2 linked regions of the Alligator mississippiensis genome follow. The protein of the gene in region 1 interacts with the protein of each later gene in a pairwise test. Links are inferred from orthologs where the notes say so. Each region holds a gene or a part of one and is shown on either strand. Other genes may lie near its edges.

Region 1 (15,805 bases):
ACAAGTTAAGATTACTGATTATTTAAATAGAGTCTTCATACTGGCTGATTTAAAATCAGGATTAACATTGATGACTCAAATCTTAAGAGACGGGGTTTTTTTCAGCCCTAAATCATGGACATTTTAGGACTGCTATGGCAGACTACCATATCACAGCTCCTCTCAAAAACTTCATAAACTTCATCTTTAAATAGTTAGGGATTTTTGCCCACATTCTTTACACTGGAAACCTGTTTTAGAACTTTGTTCTTTTCCTTGAACCTGAATTTACTCTTGGCCAGCTTGTTATTCACCAGAATTTTCATCTCCAGAAGTGGTGCAATCACCTACCCTGGAAATCTTCAACAGGAGACTAGACAGTCACCTTGTTGGGGTCACCTGGCCCCCAGTTATCTTTCCTGCTTGGTACAGGGGGCTAGAGCCGATGATCTTCCAAGGTTCCTTCCAGCCCATCAATCTATGAATCTTCCTTGGTATCTCTCCCCCCTCCAAACATGTAGTTAGAGAAATCAGTCATCACATTTCTTAACCTTAATTTCTCTACGCTAAACTAGTTAAACTCTTTTACTCTGCACCTTTCCCAGTTTGAACATTTGCTCTCCATTTCCGCACTTTTTTTTAATACAAGTGACCAGAACCATCTACAGTAAAAACAGTTCTTTGCACAATGACATCAGTATTTTCCTATTTCTATTTAAGTCATAAATCATTCCACCCTACTTGGTGCACTGCACAACTTCTGTTGTTTGCAAACTACGTTACTGGTAACTCCAACAATCACTTGCCTTTGCTAGCACAGAAAAAAGAAACTTTGCTGTGACATAAGAACAAATAGTTAAGAGATTCTACATGTAACAATAATGGTGTTTTGCAACCAGCACATCTGCACCTATGCAAGAAGAGCAGCATGATTAAGTAGAAACAAAAATAATCACACCTATTTCCTCGATGATCAGAAATACTTGTGGGAAATGTGAAGCAATATGAGAGTGATTAAAATATGCACTGAATTGTCCAAGAAGCTAAGTCAATGTGTTATTAAATTTGTGCTTTCTGATGAAACACTGCCCCTTGTGCTCTGTCTTTGAGGACACAGTTCCTTTTATTAGCAACTCCTTTTTCACACTGATGTGCAGGTTGCTTTCATGAAAAGCTCATGGTAACACCAAATCCTAAGCAGAACTCAAAGTTCTTCCTCAGTTTTTAACTATCTTCCTTTGTCGACACTTTCAATACTTGAGCAGCCTGTCAAGTCTAAACACTCTAGACAGAAATGTTTGAAAAAGTATCTATTTATCTTTTCAAGTACAAAGAAGGATCTCCAAGTGTTCTCATCTTCCTTCAGATTTCTAATCTACAGGATAGTTAGCAGCTTGTTGGCAACAGGAATTCAGAATTCAGTGTGGAAAACTCCAACTGTTGGACTATATTCTTAACGACTCACAAAGGAAAAAAGGATCACTGACTTGACAGCAATGATTGGACCACTGCAAGATAAACTGACAGCCCTCTCCTGGGACAAGATACTGCAACTGATTTTCTTTCACTGAAGGAAAAGCAATTTAGTACCAAATGACTCAGAGTGATGTTGTAGCCAGGATGGTTCAGTTAAAGATATCAGCCACAAAAATCCTTGTCTCTTTGGTATTTCCTGGGAAATACATCTGGGAAAGCTTTTAATAACTTTTTGGGCAGGTGACCTGAAAAAGGTTAAATTGTGCCCAAAATCTTGTCTAACTTTCATAGATTTCATAGACATTAGGGCTGGAAGGGACCTCATAAGATCATCGGGTCCAGCCCCCTGCCCAAGGGACAGGAAGTCAGCTAGGGTCAAAAGATCTCAGCAAGTTAAATGTCCAAATGTTTCTTGAAAGAGTCCAGAGTAGGTGCTTGCACTACCTCTGGGGGGAGTTTCTTTATCCCAGACATGGTTGCTCCAGTAAAGCCTGGAGTCTGTACCAGGCTTTACTGAGCCCCTGCTGAAAAACCCTCAGCTGGTCATGGTGCCAGGGACGGAGGTGTCTCGGGTTCCTCCCAAGTACGACTCTAGTGCAATAAAAAAATATCACCTATAAAAATCCTTACCTCACAACAGTGTCACATTTTCAATCCACACTTCTTTGCACATGTCCAATGAAGGGTTAGAAAAGAGAGCTTATTTCCCTGAAGTACACTTTGGCCACAAAATTCATAGAGCACAGCATCTTTCATCAGTTTGTCTACCACAATGAATGCTGAGAGTATAATAAGCTGTATTTCTTTAATTACAAGTGAAATTCACCTGAAACACAGTCTGGCATCTCAAGACCCTCAAGCAGATGTTTGGACTGTATTTGTGTGTACACATACACATTTTTTATATGGCCCCTCCCTCCCATACATGGTCCCCTCAGGGTCATCAGACCTCCTTGTCAACATCCTCCCTGCAGTGACTATGACAGCAGGAGCAGAAAGCTAATAGGGATGAAATTGTGGGGCCTACTTCCATTCCCTTGCTGCCACATGCCTCTGGCAGAGTTCCTCCAAGCATCCTGTCCAAGAAGGTCTAGCGCAATGATTCTTAACCAGGGTGCTGCAGCACCCTGAGGTGCCCTGAGATCCTTTCACAGGTGCCATGGGATGCCACACAACGTTAGCACTGTTTGGTGTGCAAACATGATGCACAAGATAAACCTATAGATTCCTGTATGAAATCTCTAATGTCCAAACTATTCTGCCCTGTTATGGTCTGATTTCTTTGCAACAGAAAAATTGCTCTAGTCTTTTTATGTGGTTAAAAAAAAAGTATAAACTCAGACCTGACATTGTCTGAGGGGGTTACAAAGCATGCTGGACTGAAGATGAGGGCTGGCTGCCAGAGATGAATGGCAATAGATCAAGAGATGAGAGATTCTTCTTTCCCCAAGAGTCAGGGAGAAAAATTAAAATACTGTGCTCTACTTAAGAATAAGAAGTAAACAGGGGAATGGGTCTATGGAGGAAGAATTCTTGATGCTAGGATTTCTAAGAGGGGGTGTCATCATAAAGGCAGACACAGATGTTTGAAAATACAGAGATGTTTCTGTTCCCAGAGACAGGCAGATGAATATTCCCATATTATTTCCTAGCTGCACAGTTGTATATATACACAAGAGAATCTCTCACCTTGCTAAAAATTTTGTGAGTGAAGATAAGACACCAGTTACAGAGTGGGAGGCAGCGGGGGAGAGGGGGAGGAGAGCAGACATGCAGGATAAACCACGATTGCTTAACGTCACTCTGAATAATATATTTAATCATAAAATATTATAATTTACATTTTTCAGCTAAAACCTTGTATACTCCTAAAAGGAGGATATAGGCAATGCATCATTATCACAAACTTCTGGCAAAGTAAATTAAAACTTTAGCCAAACAGAAATACTAGCATATTCCATCACATTTTTAACATCCTTTTCCATAATGCTACTTTATCTTAGATCTCAGCCACATTAAAAACTCTGCCACAGATGTAATAATCACTCTCCTAAAAAGAGTCTTTCAGTGATTATAGGATGACAATGCAACATGCTGTAGAGATACAATTGTGGCAACTTCTGTATTAATAATGGAGTTTGCCAAACTTTAGATCATACTGGTTTCAGAAAGCTTTCAGGTGAGACAGAGGGAAACCAAGTAGAACAACATACAATATCATATACCCATCTCTAATATGGGATACACTCTAATTTTCTGCCCAGGAGCTTGTCTCTCCCAACTACACAGTTAGTCCAATAAAAATAGTTACCAAACAAATTCTACATCTCTTCACATAATGAGAAAAAGCAATCACTGAAATGTCAGTCCCCCAACCAAACACTTCATTTCTTACAGAACTGACCCAAACCACAACTGCAGACCTGTTCAGTATTCAAATACTGCAATATGTAAAGCCCATACATGATTTATAAGCTTTCTATTCAGTCAACTTTTGATGCATACCTAGCAGGGTTGACAGGAAAGTTAAGTTTGCAAATGTAAACTTAAGTGGTATCATCTTCCTTGGCTACTGCTGCCTCCATGCAGCACTGAATAATCTAATAATACTCCAGCAGTTTCACAGCTACTATTAAAATGCAGTGGGAAACAGTGAAGCTGACACGAACCAAGTCCATCACACTCCTCTGTAGTTTGGAGAAAGCTCCAAGCAATAGCAGGCACTGCTGCTGTTCAGAGAATTCCAGCCATTGGGCAGTTCTAGGATAAGGTGGACTCCTCACATATTCTCTTTCCAGCTGCCAAAGTAGGCCAGAGGCTGCCACAAGCAAAGGAACTTTTCAGTAGGCTCCAGAGACATCAACCCACTATAAATCCAACATACACTCTGCACCTGGTAGCGGGCCTGGCTTCTCACAGTCCCAGGACTGGTGAAGAGGTCCTATATATTACATATCCACTTTAACTAGTAGGTGTCTGCTATTTTTCCAAGTCTTAATCATAAGGGATTTAATTGCAACCTTATACTTCCAGGATATTGGTTTAAATTCACTCTGGGTTGGTAGGCACGTTAACAGAAATTACTGCTGTCATCTGGCTATTAGGTAGGCAAAGAAAGCATGTGTTCCACTGCATCTTTTGCACATCAAGCATCCTTCACATCTCCCATGCTGTTAGTTTGGCACATTTCACAGTGCTGAGTTCACAAAGAAAGAAGTAAACACACATATGCCAAACTTCCCCTTTACCTGCATGTATAAACTTAATCATACCTCTAACATTCTCAAGCTGGCAACTGCTTTTGCCTCATTAAGAAACTGCTGACACCTCTTGAAAACTGAATACATTTTACTTGGAGCCAATTCTGCTTGCATATCATATGTTGTTTATTAGAAAGGGCATCTGCATGAAAATTCAAGCTTTCTTTCTTTCAGCACTCAGCTAGTTGCTCCTGCTGCTTATAGGTATCCAAAATAACAATTAGCTGCTGTGGAAATTACTGTAATGTCACTGAGAGTAAGACTTCAGGTGGGAAGAGAAGCAGCAGGAGCAGATGAACTCTGAAGAAACAAAGATACTGTTTTGATGCAAATGTCTTTAGCAACAGACAAAGATGGGAGGAGGGGGGGGTGACAATCCAGGATGATTTACAAACTTAATGTCTTTCAAAAGTTTCTCCCTAAGAATCACAGGGTTCATGAAAACTTGCAAAGTATATGCAACTGTGTGCTAATTTGAAAAAATGACAGTCATGAGTGCCAAAATCCTCCTCCATTTGCCACTATAGCGAAAGGAAAAAAAAATAGCCAAGTCATAAACAAAGTTAGAGCTAGATACATTTGCATGAAGAAAACATGAATAAGAAAATGCTGTATTCAGAAAAGTTTTGGTTCATTCCTATTCCTGAGATCCAATCAAACTTTTCTAGCACAAGTAGGGCATGAAATGTTACACAGCTCATGTACCTAAGTATAACTCTCCCTCCAACAGGATACAATATGGCAAACAGATGCATGGGAAGACAAGGACTGCCGTGGCGAAATCTTGCTTTTCCAGAGCACTGAGCAACTGGCTATCAAGCACTTCCTCCAAACCAAACCACCTTCCTTCCAGTTCCCATCAAAACAAACTCATTAGTGCCAGCTGGCCAGCTTTTAAGTAAAAAATGGGATTGCTTTTCCCCCCCAATAGTATCAAAGCCTCCCCCCCTTCCTTATTAACTGTGTAAAAGAGTAAATTAAAAAAAAAAAAAAGATGCCAACTAGGTGCCTCCTCCTAACCAACAGAGATCATTTCAGATGAGCTGAAACAGTTATTATAGTCAAACGTACAGCACAGAAATCCCTTGGCTGCAGTTTTGTGCTCCACAGCGCAGGAAGGGGGGGAGGGGGGGGAGTTCAATTAAAAACGTTGAATGGCAGCCAACTGCCAGCTTTCAGAGGAGCTCTGAAAATGCAGAGCATCAGTCACTGCAACCCACCGCTTCCGGACCACAAACTTCTTGCAAGTCCCAGGACAGGGTCAGAACCTGAAACGCTTCTCAGGGCAGATCAGCAGGGCCTGAAACAAGTATCAGGACAGATGTGAGGGGCTTCTCAGGACAGGAGAGAGAAGCCTAACGCTTCTCAGGACAGATAAGGAGGATGTGAACGCTTCTCAGGACAGCTCAGCAGAGCCTTAAACACTTCTCAGGACAGATGAGAGGAGCTTAACGCCCCTCAAGATGCTCAAGAAGGACCATAAACACTCCTCAGGACAGAGCCGCCAGGCCCCGCGCTCCTCAAAGAAACCCATCGTACGCTGCTTGCCGACGGGGCGCTTGGTTTGTTGTGGGGGGCGGGAGTAAAGCTCAACCCAAGGCCGGCCTCTAGACCACCCCTTCCCCCTCGGCACGCAGAGGACCCCATGCCCTGCCCACGGCCCCCGCCCGAGGGGAGCGGGGACACGGAGGCGAGAAGGGGCCCGCGCCCAGCCCAGCGCCACCCTCAGGGGACCCCCGAAGCCCCTCCGGCCCCGGCCCCAGCCCCTCTCCCTGCCGCAACATGGCCCCGGCCGCCTCACCTCGCGCGAGGGCGCAGAGCGCGGCCAGCAGCAGCAGTCTCCGCGGCGCGGGCCCCATGTCCCCGGCTCTCACGGGCGGCGGCGCGGGGGAGGCGGGCGGCGGCACCCCCGCGGCTGCGGCCGGCTCATGCTGCGGCGGGCGGGCGGGGGGCCCCGCGGCGCGCTCGCGCTCCTGCCCCTGCCTAGCAGGCCGCCGCCTCCGCCGCGCCGCCGCGCCAGGGCTGCTGCAAAGCCCCCATCAGAGCGCCTGGCCCACCCCCGCCGTGTGCGCAGCGCAGCTCAGCGCAGGGATACGGGCCCCGCCTCCTACCGGCGCCCCGCCCCGCTTGTCTCCCTGCAGCCTCCAGGCCCTCTCCCTGCGTGCGTCCGTGCGCTGGGCAGCCGGAAGTGCATTGCTTTGCCTGACACAGCGTGGGAGTGCATTGCACGGCACTGCACTCGGGGGTTGGAGTGCATCGCATTGCATTTCACTGCCCTCCCCTCCCCTCCCCTGCCTTGGAGTGCGTTGCATTGCATTGCATTGTGTTGCCATACAGCACGCTACATGGGAGTGCATTGCATTGCCGGACGCCACGCAGCGTTGGAGTGCTCTACACTGCACCTCTGTGCACTGGACTGCATCGCGTTTCACTGCCCTATACTACACTGCAGTGCATCACATTCTCTGATCCCAGCTGTCTTTCCTGCTGGGTGCAGGTCGGCGGGACACGACAGTCTTCCAAGGCCCCTTCCTGCCGCGTATTATCTATGAATCCATTCACTGGAGTGCGTTACCCTGCCCCACATTGCATCGCACTACACTGGAGTGCATCGCATTTCACTGCTGTACATTACTGTACATTGGAGTACATCGCATAACACCACCTCCGTCCACTGCCCTGTCCTACACCACACTGTGTGTAGCGCGTCCCGCAGCCCCGGCTCTTTGCAAACCTCACTGCACAGGCGCGGGGACGCATCCGCCGGCGGCGGCATACCAACGGGACTATTTTCTTCCTCGCCTCCCTTTTCCTTCGGGGAGCGGGATAGCCGGGTCTACTTTCGGGAACAGGACAGCAGCCGGAGTCGCAGCCGCCGCGTCACAAAGGGCGGCCTGATCCGCTGCCAGTGCTGCAGGTGGCCCGCGCGGCTCCCCTGGCGGGGAGGCAGCGGCAGAGCGCATGCGACGCCCCCGGCAGCGGGTCGCGGGGTCCCGCTGGAGCAGCCGCGACGTGTCCGACCTCGGGGACTGGGGTCTCCTTTGTGTGCCCTGGGCGTGAGGGGACGCAAGGTGGATCCCGGGACGAACCCAGAGACTTCAACTAGGAATCCCTAGGATTCAAAACCTTCTGCCTTGTGGTGGCCCTTCGCAGCTCTTGGGGAGGGAAAAGCTGCCCTGTTATTTTTCCATCTTCAAAGCAGAGGTAGAGTTTTCCCGGGGGGGCCTCCAGTCTGAAAACAGGGTTGAAAACCGCTGCCGGGGGTGGGGACAAGGAACGAACTGGCTCAGTCGTGTAGTGCTCGAGTATCAGTAGCCTGTCTCTCCTCCCCCCCCCAAAAAAAAACTTGCATTGTACAATAAAGCTATGATCTGTGTGCGTGTCCCCCGTGCGAACTGGCAAGCGACAATCTTGCCTTTCCTCATTGCTTACCTTAATCCTTTTGTCAGGATTTTGCTGCTTAATTGCAGTAATGTTGCCTGATCAATTGCTCACACAAATGTCCCTGTTTGCTTTTTTTTTGGTCGCCATTATTTTTCCCTTTTTACTTTGAAAGTGGTCAAAAAGCCCAAATATAAAACAGAGAGGCTATGTTTCATACCTAAACACACTTTCTGGACCATTTCCCCAAATAATGTCCACTGAAATATATCCCTTGCTTGGAAAACTACTATAAATAGATTTTCACAGTTTTGTGAGGCACAGTATATTGGTTATCCATTTATAAGAACTTTAAAATACTTCTTTTCCAAGGTATTCTGGTCTTTTGTACTTGGATCCACTGACACATTTTCTGTTCATTAGTTTCTTTCATTCACATTACAAGCTCCATTTACTGATTCATACAATGAGACATACATAAGGACTTACCCACCACTTTGTCTCTTATCTGCCTTGTAACAACCATTTAATAGAACACAATTCTAATACACAAACGTTTACGGCAGAAGGTGAGAGAATATCACATTAAATGGTCATAACATGTTCAGACCTATCAGAAACACAGAAAAAAGAATACTTGCTCAACAAATATTTCATAATTGCTTATTCTTTCAAATTATTATTTATCACAGGAAATCAGCATCAAAACCAGATTAAAATTAGGTATTATGGATCTGTCAAGCCAGGCTTCTCTTGGTCTGCTCTCTGGTACCATGTAAACCAGTACAGCCTGTTCTGGGTCGGGTTGTTGGCAACTAAACCGGTGCTCCCACCAGGCTAGCCTGAGTGAGGAGTATGTGCGGACACCCAGCAGAAATAAAAACAAGACTTGTCAAAGGGCAGATGAGCTCCCTGTGAGACAGCGGCCATCCCATACCTGGAGAGGAGATGGGTGCCACTATGTCACTTTGCCTGAAGAATCACCAATAATGCACAGCATCTAAGGTGCCCCAGTGGTCACAGTGACCTCTGAACTCACTTGACTTGATTATGGATCTTGCATGAGGCCCCAGGTCCTGAAGCCGTGTGATTATATCTGAATCTCAGCTTCCATGGAAAACAGTTCTATAAAGTAGGTTGTTTCTAGTTTAATGACTGCAAGGACAAGCTTGAGAATATAAATAGTGTAAACGAAAGTAGTGATGTCTGCTGGAGCTGGATCTACATTACAAGATTTTCCTATCAGAGTTAAGTCAACTAGAAGCATGTAAAAAAATAAATCAAGCCACCTAACCAACATAGTGATGCCAGAAAAAATACCCTGCTTGTTGATGCTTGTATGCCAGCAAGTGTCCTTTTGCTGGTGAGGCAGTACCTGATGTGTGAAAGGAGGTACAGCTATGCCACCAGCCAAATAGATTTCATCATCAGTCAGGGTAGATACTGGGAAACGCTGGAAATCTCTGGGACTTAGAGAGGGCCCCTGTTGCCATTGCAGGGTAGATAATGACACCAAATGTTGCCCTCTGTCTCTTAATGGGGAAAATGGCTTCCCTTGCCTCTGCCACTGCATTTGGAGAATGCAAACCTCAGGGGCAGAGCAGGGATTTCTGCATGCCATGCTGCACTGTAACAGGGAACCCTAGCCCTGTTACTGGAAAGCAGGGCAGCCCCTTTAAGACCAGAGCCTTCAGGGCACATCCTACTGGCAGAAAAGGGGTTAAAAGCTGAGTCTGGCTGGTTGGTCAGCTGAGGGGGCATCAGGTGATTGGAAGAGGGCTCAGGCCAGGACTACATAAGTGATGCCTAAACTGGCTGGGGGGGGATTAAGTTGCAGAGAGAGTGGATTCCTGAGAACTCACAAAGTAGGGGCAGCTTCATGAGAGAGCGAGCAGCTAGTGGTGGGATGCAGAGAGACAGAGACCCTGGAAACATAAGCAGGCAAATTGTCTTCTTTGCCTTTATTTTTGTTATAGCGCAGAGGCTTATTGTTTATGTTTTTTTTTAGACTGGTTGTGGCTGAGGCTGTAGGGGAGGTGGAGACCTCATTAGTGTCCACAATGCACAGCTGGAGGGCTAAAGAGCCTGTGCTATAGCAGGCACAACCATACAGGGCACGCAGCCCGGAGTGGAGGGATGCCCTAGTGCCTCAATGTCAGGTCCTACCAAGTGGGCCTAGGCTGGGAGGCCAAGGTATAGAATAAGGGGTAAAGTTGGGGAAGGCTGAGGCCCCAACAACTCAGCACCACAGGGGTGCAGTGTTAAAGAGACTGGGGAGCCCAGTGCCGTGGTATAACGGGCCAGGAGCCCAGAGTGGTTTGTTGAGCTAGGGCCTCGAAGTCAAGTCTTAAATCGTGGACCTTGGCTGGTAGGCCTAGCCAGATAAAAAGGAGCAGAAGCTCAGGAGGCTGAAGCCCCCACAAATGGATGGTATACAGGCAACACCTATAAGGCATAGAGCATGTTAAGGGAAGGTAGAAGCATACAAAGAGCCCTTAAGGCTGATGCTCGTCACTGCAAGGTGTTCTTGAGCTTCATGACCCTACTGGGAAACCCTGGGGCAGCTTCCTCTTCAGAACCCAAAGAAACATCAGGACCTGGCAGGTAAGTGAAGCGGGGGTCTGTTCCCAGCAGGAAGGGCAAATGTAAAGAGACTCAGGAGTGTCCCAGGCACCCCTAAAAGTCACTAAGGATGGCATTCTATTACCTGCACCTAGGCACCAAGTGACCTATATCCAGCCCTGGTCAGCACAACTCAGCATTGCAGGAAAAGCAGAATGTTATCTGAGCTAGGTCCAGAAGAAATAGCAATTGCATAATGTTGTAGTGTAATTTAAATTGTACAGTCATAATTTAAAATAAGTTATTAACCTTTTAAAAAGAGGAATGCAAAATCTGTAGTGAATTGTATAACACAAGGGGGGAGGAATCTCTCCCTGAGCTATCGAGCCCAACCCCCTTTACCCCTTCCACCAAACCATAGAAAATTAAGGTTGGAAGGGACTTGAGGAGGTCATCTAGCCCAACCCCCTGCTTAAAGCAGGGCCATCCCCAACTAGATCATTCCAGCCAGGGCTTTGTCGAACCAGGCCTTAAAACCCTCCAAGGATGGAGATTCCACCCCGTCTCTAGGTAACCTGTTCTAGTACCTTACTACACTCCAAGTGAGACAGTTTTTCCTAATATCTAATCTCAACTTCCCTTGCTGCAACTTGAGACCATTTCTCCTTTTTCTGTCATCTGCCACCACTGAGAACAGTTTAACTCCATCTTCTTTGGAACCACTCTACAGACAGGTAGTTGAAGGCTGCAATTAAATCCCACCCCCTGAGTCTTCTCTTCAGACTACATAAGCCCAATTCCTGTGGCCTTTCCCCAGAAGTCACGTGTATTGGGACCCAGAGGCCTTGAGGCTTTGGTTTGACCCTTGTGCTTGGCTCAAGCTGTATGCCTAGCTTGCATTGTGGTTGAGACATGCACCCAGTGAAAGGAACAGATGGCAAAATACTGTCTCTGACTTAAAATTAATCAGGAAGCTAGCTAACTAAACGGAATAAATGTGGTATGGGCAAAAGAGGAACAGTCAGAGCAAAACCTACCCCCACCTAAGAATGAAAAGATTACTTCAAGATAGAAAATTCTAGTTAAAGGTAACCATATTTGGCAAACAGAAGCAAGATTATCAATGTGTATTAAGAGGAAAGTTTAAGCTAATTTTACATATTAAGAAATACAAGCTATATGATATAAAGAAAGGTGAGGGAGTGTATCCTTCAGAACACTCCTGAAGAAAGCTTGAAGAGATCCTGTCACCGATCCAAGATCCTGTCTTGACATCAGATGTGGGGACCAGGAGCCCTGGACAAGAAGACTTCATGGCCTGATCAAGCAGTGAAGTTGTGTTTGCAACATTACAGGGTGCTGAGCATCTGCTTTGACTAGCTACAAACCTAACATTTTTAACTGCTAAGGCTGCTTCAGTTCTAATTAGAGTTGTATCTGTTAGGGTTCAATAAACTTACTTTTAGTTTAGAACAACTGTGTCTTAGTCTCCTTGTCTGGTATACAATGCATTATAGCATCACAGGGACACAACAAGTGCCTCAACCCTCTAACCATTTTTGTTGCCCTCCGCTGGACTCTCTCCAACTTGTCCACATCCTTTCTGTAGTAGGGGACCCAAAACTGGACACAGTACTCCAGCTGTGGCCTCACCAGTGCCAAATAGAAGGGAAAAATTACTTCCCTCAATCCCCTGCCAGTGCTCTTACTAATGCAGGCCAATGGGCTGTTAGCCTTCTTGGCAACAAGGGCACACTGTTGACTCGTATTTGGCTTATTTCCTACTGTAACACCCAGGTCCTCTTTTGCAGTTGCTTAACCAGTTGGTTCCAAGCCTGCAGCAGTGCATGGGATTCTTCTGTTCTAAGTGCAGGACTTGGCACTTGTCCTTGTTGAACCTCATGGGATTTCTTTTTTGGCCCAATCCTCCAATTTTTCTAGGTCACTCTGAATCCTACCCCTACCCTCCAGCATATCTACTACTCCCTACAGCTTGGTGTCATCTTTGAATCTGTTGAGAGTGCACTCCATTCCATCTTCCAAATCATTAATGAAGAATGAAGCAAGAGTATTTTTCTAGCTTTATTTCTAGCTCAGAAATGCAGAATGTAGTTTATTTTAGAGTAGAAGTGCACTGATCTATGCCATATTGGATCGGCACTGATAAAAGGAGAATTGACATTATTGGCTATTGGGTTTTTTTGGCTGATGAGCCGATAAAGTTAATGGATCAACATAATACACCTTCTGGTGGGGGTCCCCAGATGCACATGGCCAGGAATGCCGATTGGCAGTGTGGAGAGCAGCACCCTACAGGTAAGTCTGTGGAAAGAAAGGGCCATGGGGGGGCAGATCAAGGCCTCCATGGTGAAGGAGGGAGTGGGGCAGGGGCTGGGGGCACTGCCCAACCTGGGCTGCAAATGGGACCAGGGCAGGGAGTGGGACAGAGCCACAGGCAGGTTGTCAGGGGTCATGCGGGATGGGAGGGCATGGCTCCCTGCCACTGCAAACCTCCCTGAGGGAGTCATGGTGGGACATGTGCCCCCCCAGATCTGTGTGGAGTGAATGCGGGTTGCCTGCTGTAGGTTCAGGGCTCTCTGCCCTGCTACCTTTGTCCCAGGGGCTGTGTGCTGGCCATGTGTCCCCTGTCTGTCTGGCAGCGGCAAGTTGTAGCCCCCACTGCTGGACAGGCAGTGGACATGCAGCTAGCACCAGCTCCCAGGGCAAAGACAGCAGGGTGGAGAGCCCCAAGCCTGCAGCAGGCAGCTCGCATCCAACCTCTCCCTGCTCCGCTCTACTCCTAAAAGTGTCCCTGTGCTTAAAAGTGGTGGTGGTGGTGGTGCACTAACCAAAGGTCATTTGATGACCTTTAGTTCAACCACCCTCACTGAAATTTTTACATGCTGGAATGCTGATCCCTTGAATGAGCCACCCGTGGCTCCATCCCACTTCCTGCCCCGCCCACTTGTTCCCTCACTTCAGGGACCTTGATCTGCTCCACCCCCTGCCCCTTCCCCTCCAGACTTTCCTGCAGGGAGCTGCTCTCCATGCTGCCTCGCTGTGCTTCTGTAAATCGGCTATCAGATTGGTATCAGCCAATATGCCTGGTAAATAATCAGCTATAGGTATCTGCCAAGAAAATCTTTATTGGTGCACCTCTATTTCAGCAGTACCACATAATAAGTACCTCATGCATTCTACACTGCAGCAGTTTGAGAGACCTGGTTCGGTACATTAGTTGATCTATGCTCAAAGGCAAAACAAAATAAATGGCAGTGAGAAGAGGATGTGCATTTTTTGTAATATAGAGTTCCTTGTAGTGATTAATATTTAGTAGTTGCTTCAGAACTCAACCTTCTGACTGTAGGTTCAGTACAACCAAAGACTGCCTCTGCAAAGAGATCTGTGCAAGCACAAAGATGGATTCTTATGAAAACACTAAGTCCCAGTGAAGTCAATGGGATCCTTTACAGGTATCAGGGCTGAAGTCTGGTGAGCTGGTAACAGAAACCACCAGCACGATTAGTTCCCTTGCTCAATGGGCACTGGAGGGTGAAGTGCTGGCTGTACTGAAATCAATGGCAAAATTCTCACCAATATCAAGTTTTCTCTCACCCTGAAAAGGAAAGGTTGGGGTGCAGAAGAACGTAATGCAATGATGGTTTGAACTGTCATTGATTTTATGGCACTAGATAAATAGAAGACTGGCTTCCAGCATCATCACTCTGACACTTTCCACAATCCCTGTATTCACTTCTCGTAAAAGACTTAATTCTTGTCCTTTCCAAATCCAGGTCAGTTATAAAATTATGGTGAATGCACTTCATAATAACTATAGCTAAAGGGGTTTGTTCTTTGGTCCCGTTCCAAAAGGTAATAGCCTCTTTACAATACTGCTACTGTAACCAGTGGGTAGAATGGAGTTAGTGAACCCTTGGGCCAGTATCAAAAGGGACACATTTTGACACTCCACTGCTAAGTTAATAGATTTCCTTGAATGAGCAAATGGAATATTTGTCTTTTTTCTAGAGACCCCCCTCATCTCATCCCTGTATCTTGGTCCAGTCTCTTCATATCTCTGCTGCTACCAGAGAAGTCTATTTATATAACAAGCATGACACTCACTGTTCCTACAGTGATTGTTCCTTTCATCTGTAGTGCCTACATAGTAGTAGATTAGCTGCCCACTCAAGTTCCCTTTTGCCATACACAGTGGCCACTCTCTCTTTATGCCCTTTTCATGGTCATCTACATGTGCTTTACGTCTGTTCCTTTCTTCCTTCCCTATTACTACTAGCAGCTGGCATGATGCTTACAATGACAACCAGACATTTATTTGTGGCTCCAAGTGGCCTGCCACAAATGTTCTCACACAGCTAAGAACTTGAAGATGAGAAACAGCTTGAGCTGTTGCTTTGAGGCTAAAGCTCTGCACATGCAGACTACTTCAACAGAAATTCTGTGGGAACACTTTAAGAGTGGAGATGGAGGATAGCTGTTCTCAGGGATTTACCTACCACCTACCTTACAAACATGCTGTCACTGCTGCAGTGGTAGCCAGAGTGTCTGAGGTCATGCAGTTCCCTTAGCCTCTTCCCTGGCTTTTCTCCACTCCTACTCGAGCTCTCAAGACCAATGTATTGCTCCAGGGTCTCATAGCAGGGTTTAGGCTGCAGTGATTTCAGCTCTCACCAGGCAGAATTCGAACCCTAATTCTGCACTGCCCACTAGACTACCGGGCAATGCTACCCTTATGAATATTTAGCAGTGGCTAAATTTCAACACCAAAATATGCAAGTACCATTTTAGAAAGAAGTTGTTAGTCTGAAATATTGTAGAAGGTAGAGTAGTATAGCACCTTACATAGACTAACTCCTTCAGAGCAGCATGAGCTTTCCTAGGCTACAACCTACTTTGTCAAATGCTGTGATTCAGATTATAATAAACGTTTTGTTATCTGGTATGAGTGGGGTAACAGGGGTTCTGGTTATCTAAAAATTCCAGTTATCTGAGAGTTATACGGAAGACAGTGCCATACTTGTAATGCAAATACTTGATGCGCACGAGAACGCTGGATAGACTCAGCAAAAATTCCAGTTGCTAAAGTGAGAACTTGTACGGGGGGGGTGTATTGGAAATTCCATTTA
Region 2 (15,453 bases), on another chromosome or scaffold:
CGCTGAGACTGAGAAGGAGAGCAGCGAGCCAGCCGCCCCCGAGGCCCCCAAGCCTGAGCCAGCCAGCCCAGCACCAGCGCCACCCGAACCCCCAGATGCGCTAGTGCCTGCAGCAGCAGGGGAGGAGTTCACCTGCGCTGAGTGCCCACGGGTCTTCAGTACAGCCAACCGGCTGGTGGCACACCAGCGTGCCCACATTGATGGCACACATGAGTGTCCGCGCTGCAGTAAGGTCTTTAAGAAAGCAGCATCACTGGAGCAGCACCTGCGGCTCCACACGGGTGAGGCCCGCTACCTCTGCGTGGACTGCGGCCTGGGCTTCGGCACCGAAATGACGCTAGTGGGGCACCGGCGCAGCCACACGGCCAACCCGCTGCACCGCTGTGCCTGTGGCAAGGCCTTTAGCAACATGACCAAGTTCCTCTACCATCGCCGCACCCATGCCGGCAAGAGCGGCTCGCCACCAGCCCGCCCACGCCCACCAGACCCCACACCAGCACCGCTGCCCACCACCACACCAGGCACCTTCCCATGCCCGCAGTGCGGCAAGGCCTTCTCCAGCCATCCACGCTTGGTACGGCACCGGCGCCTGGTGCACATACTGGAACGTAAGCACCCCTGCCCCACATGCGGGAAGCCCTTCAAGAAGCTGGTACACGTGCGTAATCACCTGCGCACACACACAGGTGAGCGCCCCTTCCAGTGCTGCGAGTGCGGCAAGACCTTTGCCTCACAGGCCAATCTGGCACGCCACCACCTCACACACACCGGCGAGCGGCCCTACCAGTGCGACGTGTGCCACAAGCGGTTCACGCAGTCCTCCAACCTCCAGCAGCACCGGCGCCTGCATGGCCCGCGTGAGCGGTGCCGCCGGGATGTGGCAGCAGGAGTGGTGCAGCGGGCACGGGGTGGGCAGCGCCGCCTGGCCTGTGTGCTGTGTGGCAAGGCCTTTGCCAACTGGAGCAGGCTGAGCCGGCACCAGCGCTGCCACGCGGGGCTCCGGCCACACCAGTGCCCGCTCTGCACCAAGAGCTTTGGGGCAGCCTCAGGGCTGCGGCTGCACCAGCGCACACACACAGGCGAACGCCCCTTCCCCTGCCCTGACTGCCCCAAGGCCTTCCGCCAAGCCACACACCTGCAGGAGCACCGGCGCCTGCACACAGGCGAGCGCCCCTACCGCTGCCCACTCTGCCCCAAGGCCTTTGTGCAGGCCATGCACCTGGCTGAGCACCGGCGCACACACACAGGCGAGCGCCCGCACCGCTGCCCACTCTGCCCCAAAGCCTTCAAGACGCTATCCAACCTGCGCAGCCACCGCCGCACCCACGCCACAGTGCCCACCCCCCCCGCGCCTGTCACTGCACCACCCACCCAGACCATCATGTGCACCGAGTTTGGGGAGGCCATTGCCATCATTGAGACAGCCGAGCCACTGCCACTGGCTGAGACGATCGAGATCTACCAGGCCGCCTTCGAGGGCAACCTCCAGCTGGACGCTCTGCAGGTCAACGCCTTCGTATAGGGCCGGGCCGGGGGGCCTCCCCTCCCCCCTGCACCTCGCCCCCTCCCCGCACTGTAAATAAAAATTCTGGTTTCAGCCCCTTGCGCTGGGGTCGGGGTATCTGTGCCCCTCGAGAGGGTGGCAGGGACTCCCAAGGACCAGGGACGGGGGGGGCACTGGAGCCCATCATGGGGCCTAGTTTAGCAATGGGAGCAGGGATCCCCCTCTCCCCCACAAGTCCTGCCCTGCAGCCCCTCCTCATGTCCCCAGTGGGGCCCAGGCATCCTATGCTACAGCAAAATAAGGCAGGGTGGGGTGTTGCCTTCTCCTTACCCCAGGAAGCAAGGGCAGGGCTGCACCTCACCCAGCCTCTCCTTGCAGACGGGTGGGGTCCAGAAAGTGCCTCTCAGCCCCTTCCCCTCAAAAACCAGCTGCCCCCCATAAGTCTCCCAGCACAGGCTGCCTCGGGTCATGCCAATAATTTATTGAAGGGGTCTGTACACAGCCAAGTCTAAGAAAAGGGCTAATGGGGCCACAGGCCACCCCCCCTCCAGCTCATCTGGGGGCAGCAGGGGGGGTGGGGGGGAGGCAATAAGAAAAAAATCAACTATTTACACAGCGATCCATAAAAGGAGGGGGCAGGGGTGTATTTACAAAAGGGGCGGGCAGGGACATAAAACTCCCATTGGGGTCCAGAGCATGAGGGGCCCCCCATAGTTGCGGGGGGGCACAGCCATAGCTTCCCCCCACCGGCTCTGGGGGGGACCTGGGGGAGAGGCTTAAAACTGAAAGGGACTTTAAAATGGGGGGCAGACAGAGACCTTCCCCCTCACCCCCCACAAGGCAGCAGCTGGGCCAAGGGGTCATTGGAAGGGACGCTAAACCCTCGCCCCCTTCACAGTTCAGTTGGGAGGCGGGGGGGAGGCCGGCCCCAGAGCCCCTCAGGAGGTGCTGGCGATGGGTCCCGCGCCGTCACCCAGCTGGTTCCTGTCACCGCTCAGGCGCCCCTCACCTAGGGGTGGAGGCAGAGTCAGGGGGCACTCAGGGATCCCCGACCCTCAAAATACCCAATGCAGCTGGCCACTCACCTTGGGGAGCCACACATCCCCCCAGCACCCGGGCGTGGGGGGGCACCAGGGTAGCGTTGAGCACAGGCTGGATGGCGAGCTCTGCAGAGAAACATGGTGGGGGTCAGGCTGGGGGGTCTGGGGGGCCAGCTCCCCCTCCCTCCCCCCCTGCACTCACCCACAGGGCTGAAGTTGAAGAGGGGGGGCAGGTCACGGCCGCTGGGCAGGCGCGCACCCGGCTCACGCAGCTCATCGAAGAAGGGATCAGCGCAGGCCGCCAGGGGCGAGAGGCGCGTGGCCGGTGTGTACTCTAGCAGGCGGGCGCACAGTGCCACCGCCTCACCTGGTGTGCGTGGCTTGAACACCTGGGGGAGCATTGGGGATCAGGGTGGGGGCACCAGACACCCCCCACCCATACCTTTCCCCCCACCTACCTTGGCCCAGGGGTGGGCCTTAATCTGGGGGAACTTGAACTCTGTGTAGTTGGGGTTCATCTCCCGGATTTGCTCCCGTGTGGGTGTCCCGAGCACCTGATGGGGAGAGGGGGGACCTGTCACACCAACCCCCACCACTGCCCAGATGCCTGGGTTCTCTCTCTGCTTTCAGAAATGAATGGGGTCCAAGATATCAGACAGCTGAGAGCCTGGATGCCTGAGTTCCAAGAGGGGAACAGGGACCTGGATGTCTGGGTTCTTTCTGCTTTTTGAGAAGAACAGGGCCCAGCAAGATGGGCAGCTGGGAGCCCAGGCAGCTGGGTTCTCTCTCTGCTCTTGAACGAACAGGGTTCAGGAAAATAGACATATGGAAGCCCAGACGCCAAGGATCCAGACTCCTAGGTTCTCTCTCTGCCCTTGGAAAGAAATGGGGTCCAGCAGTATGGGCAGCTGGGAGCCTGGGCACCTGAGTTCTCTTTCTGCTCTTAGAAAGGAATAGGGTCCAGGAAAACAGGCAGCTAGGAGCCTGAATGCCTGGGTTCCAGGGACCCAGATGCCTGGGTTCCCTCTCTGCTCTTGGAAAGGAACGGGGTCCAGGTTGGTATCCCAGATACCTGGGTTCTGGGAAAGGAATGGGGACCTGGACTCCTGGGTTCTCTTTCTGTTCTTGGAAAGGAATAGGCTTTGGAAGGACGGGCAACTAAAAACTCCAGACACGGGTTTTCTCTTTGCTTTTTGAAAGAAACAAGGTCCACAACAGGCAGCTGGGAGTCTGGACTCCTGGGATCCAGGAAGGGAACGGGGACCCAGATGCCTGGGTTCTCCTTTTACTCTTGGAAAGGAACAGGGCCCAGGAGAACGGGCAGCTGGGCCTGGATTCCTGGGTTCTGGGAGGGAAATGGCGAGCAAGATGCTTGGGTTCTTTCTGTTCTTGGAAAGGAATGGGCTTGAAAGGATGAGCACCTGGGTACTGGCAGTGCAACAGGACCCGGATGCCTCAGTTCTCCACCTACCTTGATGATCTCCACCAGCTGGTCTACACCGCTGTCCCCAGGAAAAATGGGCTGCCCCAGCAGCAGCTCGGCCAGCACGCAGCCCGCCGACCAGATATCTGTGGACAGGGCAGGGTATCAGGATGCCTGGATTCCCAGCCCGGCAGGCAGGGGCAGGATGGGGGTGCTCTTACCTATGTTGGACGTGTAGTCGGTGGCACCAAAGATGAGCTCGGGGGCCCGGTAGTAGCGGGAGCAGATGTATGAGACATTGGGCTCGCCCCGCACCAACTGCTTGGCACTGCGGGAGAATCGGGGCCATGAGCCAGAGCACAAGGGCCCAGCCACAGCCTTGCACAGGGGCCCAGCCACGGGGAGCAGAGGGAGGCAACCCACTGGCCTGGCTCTCATACCACCTCTGACATGATAGGGGAGGAACCCTTGCACAAGGGGCTGGGCACGAGTGTCAGTGGGGAGTAACCCTCGCACAAAGGGCTGGGCGTCACCTGCCGAAGTCGCAGAGCTTGAGCACAGCCGTGTCAGGGTCAACCAGCAGATTCTGGGGCTTGATGTCGCGGTGGCAGACACCCTGTGAGTGGATGTAGGCCAGACTGCGGAACAGCTGGTACATGTAGACCTGTGGGCACCAGGGGATGGGCGGTCAGCACAGCGAGGGGGGGCAAGGAGTTTCTCCCCACATCCCCTGACCCCACCTTACCTTGACATAGATGACCGGGATGGTCTGCTTGGCCTTGGAGAAGTGCCGGGCCACGCGGTACACCGTCTCCGGCACGAAATCCAGCACCAGGTTCAAATAAACCTCGTCCTTCTAGGAGGACAGGGGGTGAGACCCCCTGGGATGCCCCCACCACCACCACCCCTGTGCATCCCTAGCTGAGCAACATGGCTCCCCAGAGCCCTCCAAGGACCCCGGGTCTCCTCCACAGTCCCCCGCTCCCCTGACAATTCTGGCTCACCCTGCCCCAAAAATCCTGACCCACTATACCCCAAACTGCCCCCCCCCGCTGACAAGTCCCAAACTGCTCCCCAGCCCATGACAGTCCCAGCCCCACCCCCGCCCCAAACTGCCCCAGGGCCCATTGATAGTCCCAACCCACCCTACACCAAATTGCCGCCCCTGCTCATGACAGTCCTGCCCCTCCCTCCCCAGGCTGTCCCCCCCAGCACCCCCACCTTCTCCCCGCTGGAGTAGAAGAAATAGCGCAGCCGCACAATGTTGCAGTGGTCCAGCTTCCGCATGATCTGCAGCTCCCGGTTCTGGTGGGGGGGCAAAGAGTCAGGGTGAGTGGGGGGTCCCAGGGGTGGGGGGAAGGGAGTCCCCTGCCCCATGCCTGACCTTGAAGCGCTTGTCCTGCAGCACTTTCTTGATGGCGACGAGCTCACCTGAGCCGGCCAGGCGTGCCTGGTACACAACACCAAAGGACCCGTTGCCGATCACCTTGATGTCAGAGTAGGAGACCTCCTGCGGGCGGTCAGGGCCCTGCCCCGGTGTTGCCACCACTGTGCTCAGCTTCCCGCTGTCCCCTATGTAGGGAGGCACAGGGTCAGGGGTGCGAGGGCTGAGACCTGCCACCCCCCCAGGTGGGTGTGAACCCCACGTGGGAGCATGCATTGTTGCCCCCCCCATAAAACTCTAGCCTGTCTTCCCAGCCAGCCCCATCCCCCGCCCCAATAAGGACACTGGAGAACCCTCTAAAGCCCCCCCACCAATTGGGCACCTTTAGACCATAACCCCCAAACCCTAGGAAACACGAAGCCCCCCAACCCTGACCCAGTGCAGGGGGGGACCCCCCAGGACCTGTTGCTCATAGAGAAACCTCCTCAAATCGCTCTGGAAGCCCCCCCACAGGGAGCATTCCCCCAGCCTAAACCCCAAGGCCCTGGGCTCCTCCCCCAAAGAACCCCTCCCTCCCAGCCCCGAACCCCTAACCCATGGGGACCCCCCAGCCCTGCCCCTCCTGCCTCCCTGACCCCCCTAAACCCATAGGGACCCTTCCACCCCCTCCCCCAGGTCGAGGGACCCAGCCCCCCCACCCTGAGCCTCCAAGATCTAGGGGACCCCCCAGCCCAGCGCCTGCCCCCCAACCCCTAAGAACCCCCCCTGGCGCCCTCCCCCAGGTCTAGGGGAAACAGCCCCACCCCCAAGCCCCCCAAAATCCATGGGGAACCCGCCCGCCCCCAGGCCCAGGAGCCCCCAGCCCCATGGGAGCTCCCGCCCCGCCGCCACTCACGGCCCAGCTTCACCCCCGCGGGGAAGGCGCCCCCGCCCCCCCCCGGCCCGGGCCCGGCCTTGCCCCCCCCCGCAGCGGCCGGGATCGGGGCCGCGGGGGGCGGGGCGGCGTCGGCGAAGGAGCCGGCGCGCGGGCGGGACGGGCCGGCGCTACCGCTGCTCATGGCGAGGCCGGAGCGACTGCGGCGCCTCCAGCCGCCGGCCCGGCCCCGCCCCGCCCCGCGCGGGGGCCGCCGGGAAAGCGAGTCCATCCGGCCCCGGAAGCGCCGGCGGGAAAGGGCGGGGCAACAAATGGCGCAGGCGCGGGCGGGGCCGGCCGGGAAATGGAGTCCCTGAGAGGGAGGGAATGAGGCATCTGCACATGCGCGCGAGGGGAGTGATGGGAGAATGAGGCAGGGGGCGGAAGGAAATGGACTCGCGTAGATAGGAGTATCTGTGCATGACGGGAAATGGAGTCCGGCAGGTAGAAAAGGAGGAGGTGTGCGCATGTGTCCGAGGGGCGTGATGGCGGAGTGAAGCCGGGGGACGCTGGGAAATGGAGTCCCGCAGGTCGGAGGGGTAGATACCATGTACGCCTGTGAGTGACTGGAAATGGGCTGCGGAGGGTGTGGAGGTCTGCGCATGCACTGGAGAGATGTGACCGGAAACCGAGGTGGGCATGCCGCGAGGGATTCCGGTAAATGGAGTCTGGGAGCGTGTGGGGGGGGGGTGTAGGCGTCTGCAAGGACTGACAGGAAATGGAGACTGGGAAATAGGGTGTCTGCGCAGGAACCCTCGTGAGCTGCCAGTGACGTCACGTGCTGCCGCGGGGGCCGACGGGAAAGCGAGGAGGCAAAATGGAGAGGCTCCGAGCACGCAGCGCGCGAGAGCCGCAAGGGGTGGCGGGAAGGGGAGTCCAGCCGCTTCCCGAAGGGGGCTGCAGCTCCCAGCTTGCACGGCGCGACGAGGGAAATGTAGTCCCAGCTGTTGTGGGGGGTTGACTACGTCTCCCAAGAGGCATTGCGTGAGGACGGAGCGACGCGAGGCGTCCCCGCTCCCTTGCTCTGCGCGCTCCCCGGGCGCGCCGCTCCTCCTCCCGTCTCCGTGTCCTCCCGCAAAGCGCGGCCGGAGTGAGGGGTACCGGCGGGGGGAACGCCCACCGCGGCTTCCCGCCCCGCCCCCAGCTTCCCCGCAGGGAGGATGTGGCGGGGCAGGGCGGGCCCCGGACGCTCTGGCTTGGGGCAGTGCCAGAGCCGGGGGAGGGCTGTGCACCTAGAGCGGGGCACACCTGGCTTCTCCCTACGGCACCAGGGCAGTGAGGACTGGTGGTCAGAGCCGCCTCCCACAGCCCGGGCCCAGCTGCAGCTTCTCCTTCCTGGGTGGGCTGTCCAGCGCCCGGGCCCCGCCAGGCAGGAAGGGGTTAATGCAGCCGGACTCCGCCCCGGGCTGGGCGCCCCCCCGCCCCGCGGCCCCCCCAGCACCACCCGTACCGGAAGTCTCCAAATCACTGTTTATTGGTTATTTTTCGCGGGTTTTATACATTCGTAAAAGAAGCCGCGGCCGGTTCTGTACAACAAGGTCACTAAGGTGGGGGGTCCCCGCTGCCCCCCAGATGAGGGGGGATCTCCACCCCGGGCGGGAGAACCCGGGGGGTGTCAATGGCTTCTCTGTTCCTAGGGGGGCAAGATGGGGGCGGGGGGCAAGGGAAGAAGTCACTTCAGGTCCCCCCCAGGGTGTGTGGGGGGGGGGGTGGCACGGCCCCCTGGACCCAGCACAGCACAGGCACTTGCAACAGCCCTGAAAGCCCCGGGGGGGGTAGGGGGGCCACGGCCCGGCCCCAGGGGCAGATTTTTGGTTTCCAGCAGGGAACCCCGAGATCAATAGTGGGGGGGGGGGGAGATGTAAGGGGGTGGAGCCCAGCCCACAACCCCCCAGGCCTTGCAGACCCGAGAGGGGCACATGGCCCCCCCTGCAGAAAAGGGGCCTGACGGGGGGGGGGGGGGGGGGGGGGGGGAGAGGAAATTGCTTCTTGTGCTTCCAAAAAAGGCCGGGGGGGGGGGCCAGGACCCCCTAAAACAAGGCAGCAAGTTCACTATAAACAAAGGGGGGGCAGTCCCCATGCAGGGGGGGGGGGGGGGGCTGAAAAATAGGAGATATCTATAGGTATTTATATATGTATAGGCATAGAGGTCCCCGATGTGCCCCCCAACCCCCCCAGTAATGGTGAGAGGGGTATAAAGGCTCCCCCCCAGCACAGGGTGGGGCAATAAGGCAGTGAGGAGGGGGTCTAGCAGTCCCGGTTCTCCAGGGAGAGCTGGGCTGTGGCAAGCTGCAGCTCAGGCCCTGGCTCGGCCTTGGCCTTCTTGTCATCGGCAGGGGTGGGCGCGGAGGCCTCAAGGCGCCGGTCCTCGCTCCAGCGCCGCTTGAAGCGCAGCTTAGGGGGTGCAGCAGCAGCAGGTGTGGGGGGTGGCAGTGGGGCGGGTGGCTCAGGGGCGGGCGGCGCCTTGAACACATCCTCATCATCCTCGCTCAGGTCCGTCACCTCCACCGTCTCCTCCTCTGAGTCGCCCTCGGACACCGGCTCCACTTTGATGCGTGGCGGTGGCTGGGTTGGTGCCGGGACAGGCTCGGACAGAGCAGTAGAAGCCTTGCGGCGCCCAGGGGGTGGTGGCTGCAGCTTGAACTTGAAGGGGGCAGCGCCAGGAGGCTCATCTGGGGGCTTTTCAGGGCGCTGGGGCTGGGGCACCACCAGGCCAGGGTAGTGCAGGAAGGCGCGGGGGCTGAGGTGGTAGTTGTACACGCTCTGCGTGTGCGCCTGCAGGTAGCGCTTCATGTCCTCCGGGCTGAAGGAGAAGTGGGACCCGCCGGGGAACATGGGGCTGAGGGTGGGTGAGGGTGTGAACGGCACATGCCCAGGCGTCAGGGGCAAGGCAGGTGAGAGCTGTGGGGGCAGTAGGGCGCCTGGCCCAGCCAACGGCGACACAGGGAAGGGGCTGAGGGGCTCGGGAGCGCGGGGCGGTGGGCGGGGGTACACGCGGAACAGCCCCTCAGGTGCCAGGCGAGGGTGGGTGGGCAGTGGGGGACCCCCACGGAAGGGGTCGGGGCCAGGTGGGCGGCGTGGGTCCTCGCCCAGAGGCTCCTCCAGCTCCGAGGCGGCCGAGGCGGCATCACTGCAGTCGCTGACTGAGCCGCGGGCCAGGCGCCGTGCCACGGCCGCAAAGACACCCGGTGAGCGCGGGGCCTCTGGACCTGGTGACAACACTTCACCTGGCGTGGCTGGCGGGAACCGGAAGTGCGAGGCACCCGACGGCACTGGCGGCGCGCTCTGTGGCACAGGCCCACCTGCAGGCACACAGCTGCAGTGAGCTAGGGCACAACCCCTCACTCGTGACCTGCTGGTGCCTGCTCCCTACCCAGTGCCCTTCACTTCAGCCCTGCAGCTCCTCTGGTGCCCCTCAGTCCCAACCTGCCACCCCCTGCTCCCCTCCAGTGCCCTTCACTCTTAACTTGCAGCCCTTTGCCCCCTCACTCCCAGCCTGCCCCACCCAGTGCTCCTCACTCCTGACCCACAACCCCCCTGCTCCCACCCCTGGTGCCCCTCACTCCCAGCCCACCGCCCCCTGTACGCCTCTGGCCCCCCCGCTCACCGGCCATGCCCATGTCGATGAAGGGGTAGTTGACCAGCACCAGCTTGTTGAAGTTGAACTTGTAGGTGAAGCGTTTGCCCTTGGTTTTGTGCAGGATGCGCTTGTTGTAGTAGTACCTGGGAGGAGGGCAGACCAGGGGTCAGCACCACAACCACACCCAAACCCCAGGGACCTCAGCCAGCCCAGTGAGTTGGGGCACATGGGGTGCCTGGGTTCTCCAAGTCAGCTGTGGGGGCTGGGGGGCTACAGCACAGGGATCCCGGGGAGCTGGGACACCTGGGTTCTCCCCCACTCACCGCAGCGCCCGGCTGAGCTTGTCGTAGTTCATCTGGGGCTTGCACTTGCGCACGCCCCACAGCCGCGCCACCTCGTCCGGGTCTTTGATGACGAACTCGCCATAGTCGCCCTGCCAGGCGATGACATCGTGGTACTCCTCCTTGCGCAGCAGCTCCAGGATGAAGTGCCACAGCTGGATCTGCCGCGAGCCCGGGCTCGACTCTGGCTTGTAGGCCCAGTCCGGGAAGGCGAAGCCTGGGAGGCAGCGGGGGTCAGGTAGAGGCTGCTGGCCCTTTAAGGGCTATTCCCAGAGAGGTCAAAGTCACCCCCCAGGGGCAGACTTGGATGCCTAGGTTCTGGGTTCTGCATGGGCACGGGAGCCGAAGGGTTAACCCCCCCAGGTCCCCACAAGGTGTGCACATCACCCCCACCTGGGGGGCAACAGGAAACCGGTTTAACTGAGCCCAGGGCCAGTGCCAAGCCACCCACCCTCCCCCCCCACAGAAGAGCTGGTGCCCCTCACTCCTGACCCCCAGCCCCACTAGTGCCCCTCATTCCCAACCCGCAGCCCCCCCAGACTAAACTGGTGCCCCTCACTCCCAACCCACAGCTCCCCCCAAAAGAGCTGGTGCCCCTCGCTCCCAACCCGCAGCACCCCCCTCCTGACCCAGTGTCCCCAGACCCAAGGCGCGCCCCCCCCAGTGGTCCCCAACCCCGCTGGCGGGGGTGGGGTGGGGGGTGGGCAGGGGGAGCGGGCGGGTGGGATGGTTGCCGGCTGAGGTCACCGCCTCCCAGACAAGGAGCCTTTTCTCTGCGCCAGGCGCCCGCCCAACCCCGGCCACATTCCTGGGGGGGGGCGGGGGAGAGGGGCTGGGCCTAGCCTGCAGCCTGGGACCCCCCCTTACCAATGCACACAGCCCCCTGGGATCCCCAGCGGAGCCCCCCCCACCCCAGGGGCATGTCTCTGTGGACACACCAAGTTTTGGGGCACCCAGCCCCCCCCATCCACAGGAAGCTGGGAACTACCATTTTCCAGAAGGCCAATCAGCCACCTAACCCACCTCCCTTGACCCATCTTGATGCCCCACCTTGGAGCCCCTTGGACCCCCCCCTTGGAGCCTGATGCCCCCTATGTCAGGAGGGTACGGGGGGGGGGGCAAGTGCCATCACCCCCAGGCAGCTCTGACCCCCCTTTAACTCCATCAGTTCCAGAGCACCCCCCAGACCAGACCCAGGCACTGGGGAGGCAGGGGGCGAGTGGGGGCTGTTTCCTATTTCCCGAACCCCCAGTGCTCGCAGCCCATCAATAATTCAGGGCTGGTAATGGAGGCCGGGAGCGCGGCGGCCGCAGACGGAGCTGGCGGCATGAGCTCAGCCCCCCGGGGGGCTGCCCCCCCTCCCTGGCCCAGCTCCAGTGTGGAGGGAAGCAGGGGGGCCGAGACAGGGCCTGGCCTGCTATAGGGGGGAGCAGGATCTGATCCAAGAGGTTGCAGAGGACACCAGGCTGTGACACAGGGCGGGGGGGGGGGGGGGGGGGGGGGGGAGGCACAACAGGAGCTGTGATTTGTGGGGGAGGGACACAGGGGGGCATGAGACTCAGGATCCGGGGGCCTGGGGTACAACTGAGCTGGGATATGGGGGGGCTCTGAAAGCCATGGGGAGGACAATGCAGCCTCCTGCTGTACCCCCCCCCCACAAACAGTGCCAGGGTGCACACACTGCCACCCCCCCCCACCGCCGCGTACCAGTCTCCAAGCAACAGGGAACGGAGAGTGCAAGAGCGCGCTAAAAATAACCTGCTGGGAGGGGAGGGGGGGCTGGGCCCCCACCCCAGGACCTGGGGGTCTAGCGCACCCCACTCCTGAAGAGACCTCTCCAGGTAACGGGTCACTTCCTGTCCTGAACGCCCACCCAGGGACCCACTCTGCAGTCGTGGGAAGTCCTGAGGCCCACCCAGGGACGCCCACCCAGGGATGTCCCAGAGGTGGGCGCACATCCCAGCATTGGGGACCCCTCAGGCAATTTGGGGGAGGCAGGCTGGAGCTCAGAGCCGCCCCCCCATCCAGCTGCAGCTCTCCACCCCCACCCGGGCCCACACACGCACGCGCACACACGCGCGCGCGCACACAGACACACACACACACACACACACACACACACACACACACACACACACACACAGAGGGGCCTGTTCTCACTACCAAGGAGGGGCCCGACACCAGCCCTGAATGGGCCACTGTTCCTGGCCTGGCGCTGCCAGACACGCAGGGGCACCCCCCCAACACCGCACAATTGAGGCCTCCCTGGTGCCTGGGGGGGCATCCTCGTGACCCCCGCCTCATGAAGCTGTCCCACCCCCATTCGATCCCCCACCCTTAAGAGGGGGTGGGAGCACCCCCCCAGCTCCCAGCAGGCTCTGATCCTGGGGGGGGGGTACACACAGGGACAGCTCAGCCAGTGACTCAGCCCCCCCACCTCCCACTCCTGTGTGCCAGGCGTGGGGGGCACACGCATACACAAGCACATGGGAGAGAAGGACTGGGGGGGAGCAGGAGCCAGCCCCTCACCCCCCCCACACACGCGTGTGCACACGCACTCGCGCGCACACAATGCGCTGCCTGTTCCCGGCCAGGCTCCTTCCAAGTTTCCTTCCCAGCGTCTCCACTCTGCGCCAGCCCCCCACCCCGTCTGGGCACCCCCTCCCAGCCCAGCCCCCACCCCCCAGGTCCCTGGCTAGGGGGAAAGTTTAGAGGACGGGGTGGGAAAGGGGCCCATGTCTCTTTAATGCCCCCTCCAGCCCCAAAACCGCACGGGCCTGTGACTAATCCCTGGAGCCAGCAGCTAAAAGGCCTGGGATTGAATTCCAGCCTGGGGGGGAGCGGTATTACATCATCCCCCCCCTCGTGTGCGAGCAGGCAAGCACATAGGCAAGCACACACACACGGGCACACACACACACACACCCCCCTCTTAAAGACACAGGTGATTGCCCCCCCTCCCTGGGAAACCACAGCTGGGGGGGGAAGTGAGTGTGGGTCCCCCTTGCATGTGCATGCACACACACACACACAGGCCCCCAGCTCTTAAAAGACATGGGGGCACAGGGGGCCCACACACACATGCTCGTAAAGACAAGAGCTGGAGGGGGGTGTTGAGACACTCCAGGGAAAGAAGTGTATGTGTGCGTGCCTGTGTGTGCGTGCACGCTTGTGGCCCCCTTAGACACACACACATGCTCTTAAAGACAAAAGCTGGGGGGGGTTGAAACTCCCCAGGGAAACTGTGGGGGGGAGCTGGACACTCGTGCCTGTGCGTATGTAGGTATGTACGTACATACACAATCTTAAAGATAAGAGCTGTGGTGGAGGCTCAGACATCCTAGGGAAAGTATAGGGGGTCACAACTGTGTGCGCGCGGGTGCGCACACACACACACACACACACACACACGTGGTCCCCCTAGAAATGCACACAAGCTCTTAAAAGAAGGAAGAGTTGTAGAAGGAGTCAAGACACATTAGGGAAAGTGTGGGGGCCCACAGGCGTGCATGCATGTGTAAGCATGTGGGCCCCGGGACACACCAAACACAATAGAGGGGGGTTGAGACACCCCAAGGAAAGTGTGGGCGGGGGGCACACAAGTGTGTGCATGTGTGTGTGTAGGTATGTGTCTTCAGTGCCCCCCCCACACACACAGACAGGAGTGGGGGGGGGAGAACACCCTTGGAAAAGTACAGCTGGGGGGCACAAAAGTGTGTGCATGCCCCCCCCCGTACACTGTGCACATGCACACACTTAGACACAGGAGTTGGAGGGGAGGGTGAGACCCCCTAGGTAAACTGCAGGGAAGGGCACTGAAGAGTGTGCGAGTGTGTGGCCCCACGCATGTGCGCGCGCACACGCACACATGCGCGCGCACACGCACACACACGCGCTCAGCCCCCAAGTCTTAAAAGACTGCATGTGAAAAATGAAGACACACAGCTTCCCCCACCCCCACTTAAACACACAGAAGTTGGGGGGGTAGAGTCCCCCCCAGGGAAACGGGGGGGGGGGCACGCAGAAGTGAGTGGGGGGGCACGTGCCCCCCCTTAAAGACACACGAGTCTATGGGGGGCCGAGACCCCCGGGACAGTGCAGGGGGGCACTGAAGAGTGTGTGCGCCCCTGAGTCCCCTTTGTGTGCGTGCACCCGCGTGCCCCCCCGCGGGCCGTGCCCCCCCCTGCCATTTTCTTGCCCCGTCTCGGAGTTGGGAAAAGTTTGGTGGGGGGGCTGTGTGGGGGGGGGAGCCGAGGGGGCGGGGCACTCCCAAACGCCCGCATCCCACATACAATCGCTGGCGCCGGGGGGGTCCCCCCTCCCGGCCCCCCGCGTGTCACGTGGCCCCGTGGGGGGGGGGCGGAGCCCCCCCCCTTAAAGGTGCCGCGTGGGTCGGGAACAACAAGTTCTTCTTGGACTCTCAGGTACCCCCCCCACGACCCCCCCAATACAGAGGGGGCAGAGAGCAGCTCCCCCCGGCAACGTGGCAGCCCCCCCCCGCAAGGACTTGGGGGAAAGCAACAAGTCTTCCCTCCTCCCCCAAAAAAACTTCCGCCCCCCCTAGGTGCCCCCCCCCCGCAGTCCGCACCTGCGTCCGCAGGGGTCTTCATGGCTCCTGCGCTGCCGCCGCCGCGGGCTCGGCCCCCCCCACCCCCCCGCCCCGCGCTCATATGCACCGGGCCGCCCACGCCCCCCCGCACACGTCACCGCCGCGTCGCCATGGACACTGGGCCCGCCCCCCGCGGCCCCGCCTCCGCCCCGCCCCGGCCCCGCCCGCGCTGTGGGGGGAGGGCTGCTTAAAGGGCCCGCGCGGGAAGCGAGGGGCAGCCGGCAGGGGGCGCTGCGCTGGGGGGGTGGGTCGAGAGTGAGGGGCCCAGGGCGGGGCGAGTGGGGGTTGCAGGTCGGGAGTGGGGGGTACCAGGACGTAGGGTCGGGAGCGAGGGGCACCGGCGGGGGCACCCTGCAGGCGCCTCGGGGCGGGCGGGCAGGCGCGGGCAGGCCGCAGGAATGCGGCAGGTCCAGGCTGGGGCTGGGGCGGTGCAGAGGCCTGTGGAGTGGGGCGGGGAGCAGGTCGGGGGTTCCCGCCCTCAGCCAGGCCCAGGATGGTGGCCGGCGGGGTGGGCTCTGGAGAGCATGCACAGCCACGCCTGCAAAGGCACGCGTGTGAGGCCTGTGTCACAGGTGTGAGGCCTTATGGGCCGGGGCGGCTCAAGGGGCCAGGGCACGTGTGTGCAACATGCCGAGTATGAGGGGCAGGCAACGTGTGAG

Evidence for each region.
Region 2: the proteins of LRP6 (region 1) and GSK3A interact in binary tests that used the Homo sapiens proteins (3 or more experiments, as listed by UniProt). The link is inferred for Alligator mississippiensis from reciprocal best matches to the Homo sapiens genes LRP6 and GSK3A.

Annotation. Positions count from the first base shown.
Region 1 is NC_081827.1:137,069,002-137,084,806, forward strand, and holds the start of LRP6 (low-density lipoprotein receptor-related protein 6), read right to left. Parts: upstream 6,734-15,805; 5' UTR 6,575-6,733; coding exon 6,517-6,574; intron 1-6,516. UniProt on the Homo sapiens protein: Component of the Wnt-Fzd-LRP5-LRP6 complex that triggers beta-catenin signaling through inducing aggregation of receptor-ligand complexes into ribosome-sized signalosomes.
Region 2 is NC_081838.1:30,769,217-30,784,669, forward strand, and holds GSK3A (glycogen synthase kinase-3 alpha), read right to left. Parts: upstream 6,512-15,453; 5' UTR 6,497-6,511; coding exon 6,247-6,496; intron 5,540-6,246; coding exon 5,352-5,539; intron 5,273-5,351; coding exon 5,189-5,272; intron 4,824-5,188; coding exon 4,713-4,823; intron 4,632-4,712; coding exon 4,501-4,631; intron 4,296-4,500; coding exon 4,189-4,295; intron 4,114-4,188; coding exon 4,016-4,113; intron 3,099-4,015; coding exon 3,003-3,098; intron 2,934-3,002; coding exon 2,747-2,933; intron 2,671-2,746; coding exon 2,590-2,670; intron 2,514-2,589; coding exon 2,443-2,513; 3' UTR 1,966-2,442; downstream 1-1,965. Other genes in the region: ZNF526 (zinc finger protein 526), read left to right, coding at 1-1,522; ETS domain-containing transcription factor ERF, read right to left, coding at 8,512-9,566, 9,872-9,987, 10,168-10,402, 14,774-14,855. UniProt on the Homo sapiens protein: Constitutively active protein kinase that acts as a negative regulator in the hormonal control of glucose homeostasis, Wnt signaling and regulation of transcription factors and microtubules, by phosphorylating and inactivating glycogen synthase (GYS1 or GYS2), CTNNB1/beta-catenin, APC and AXIN1.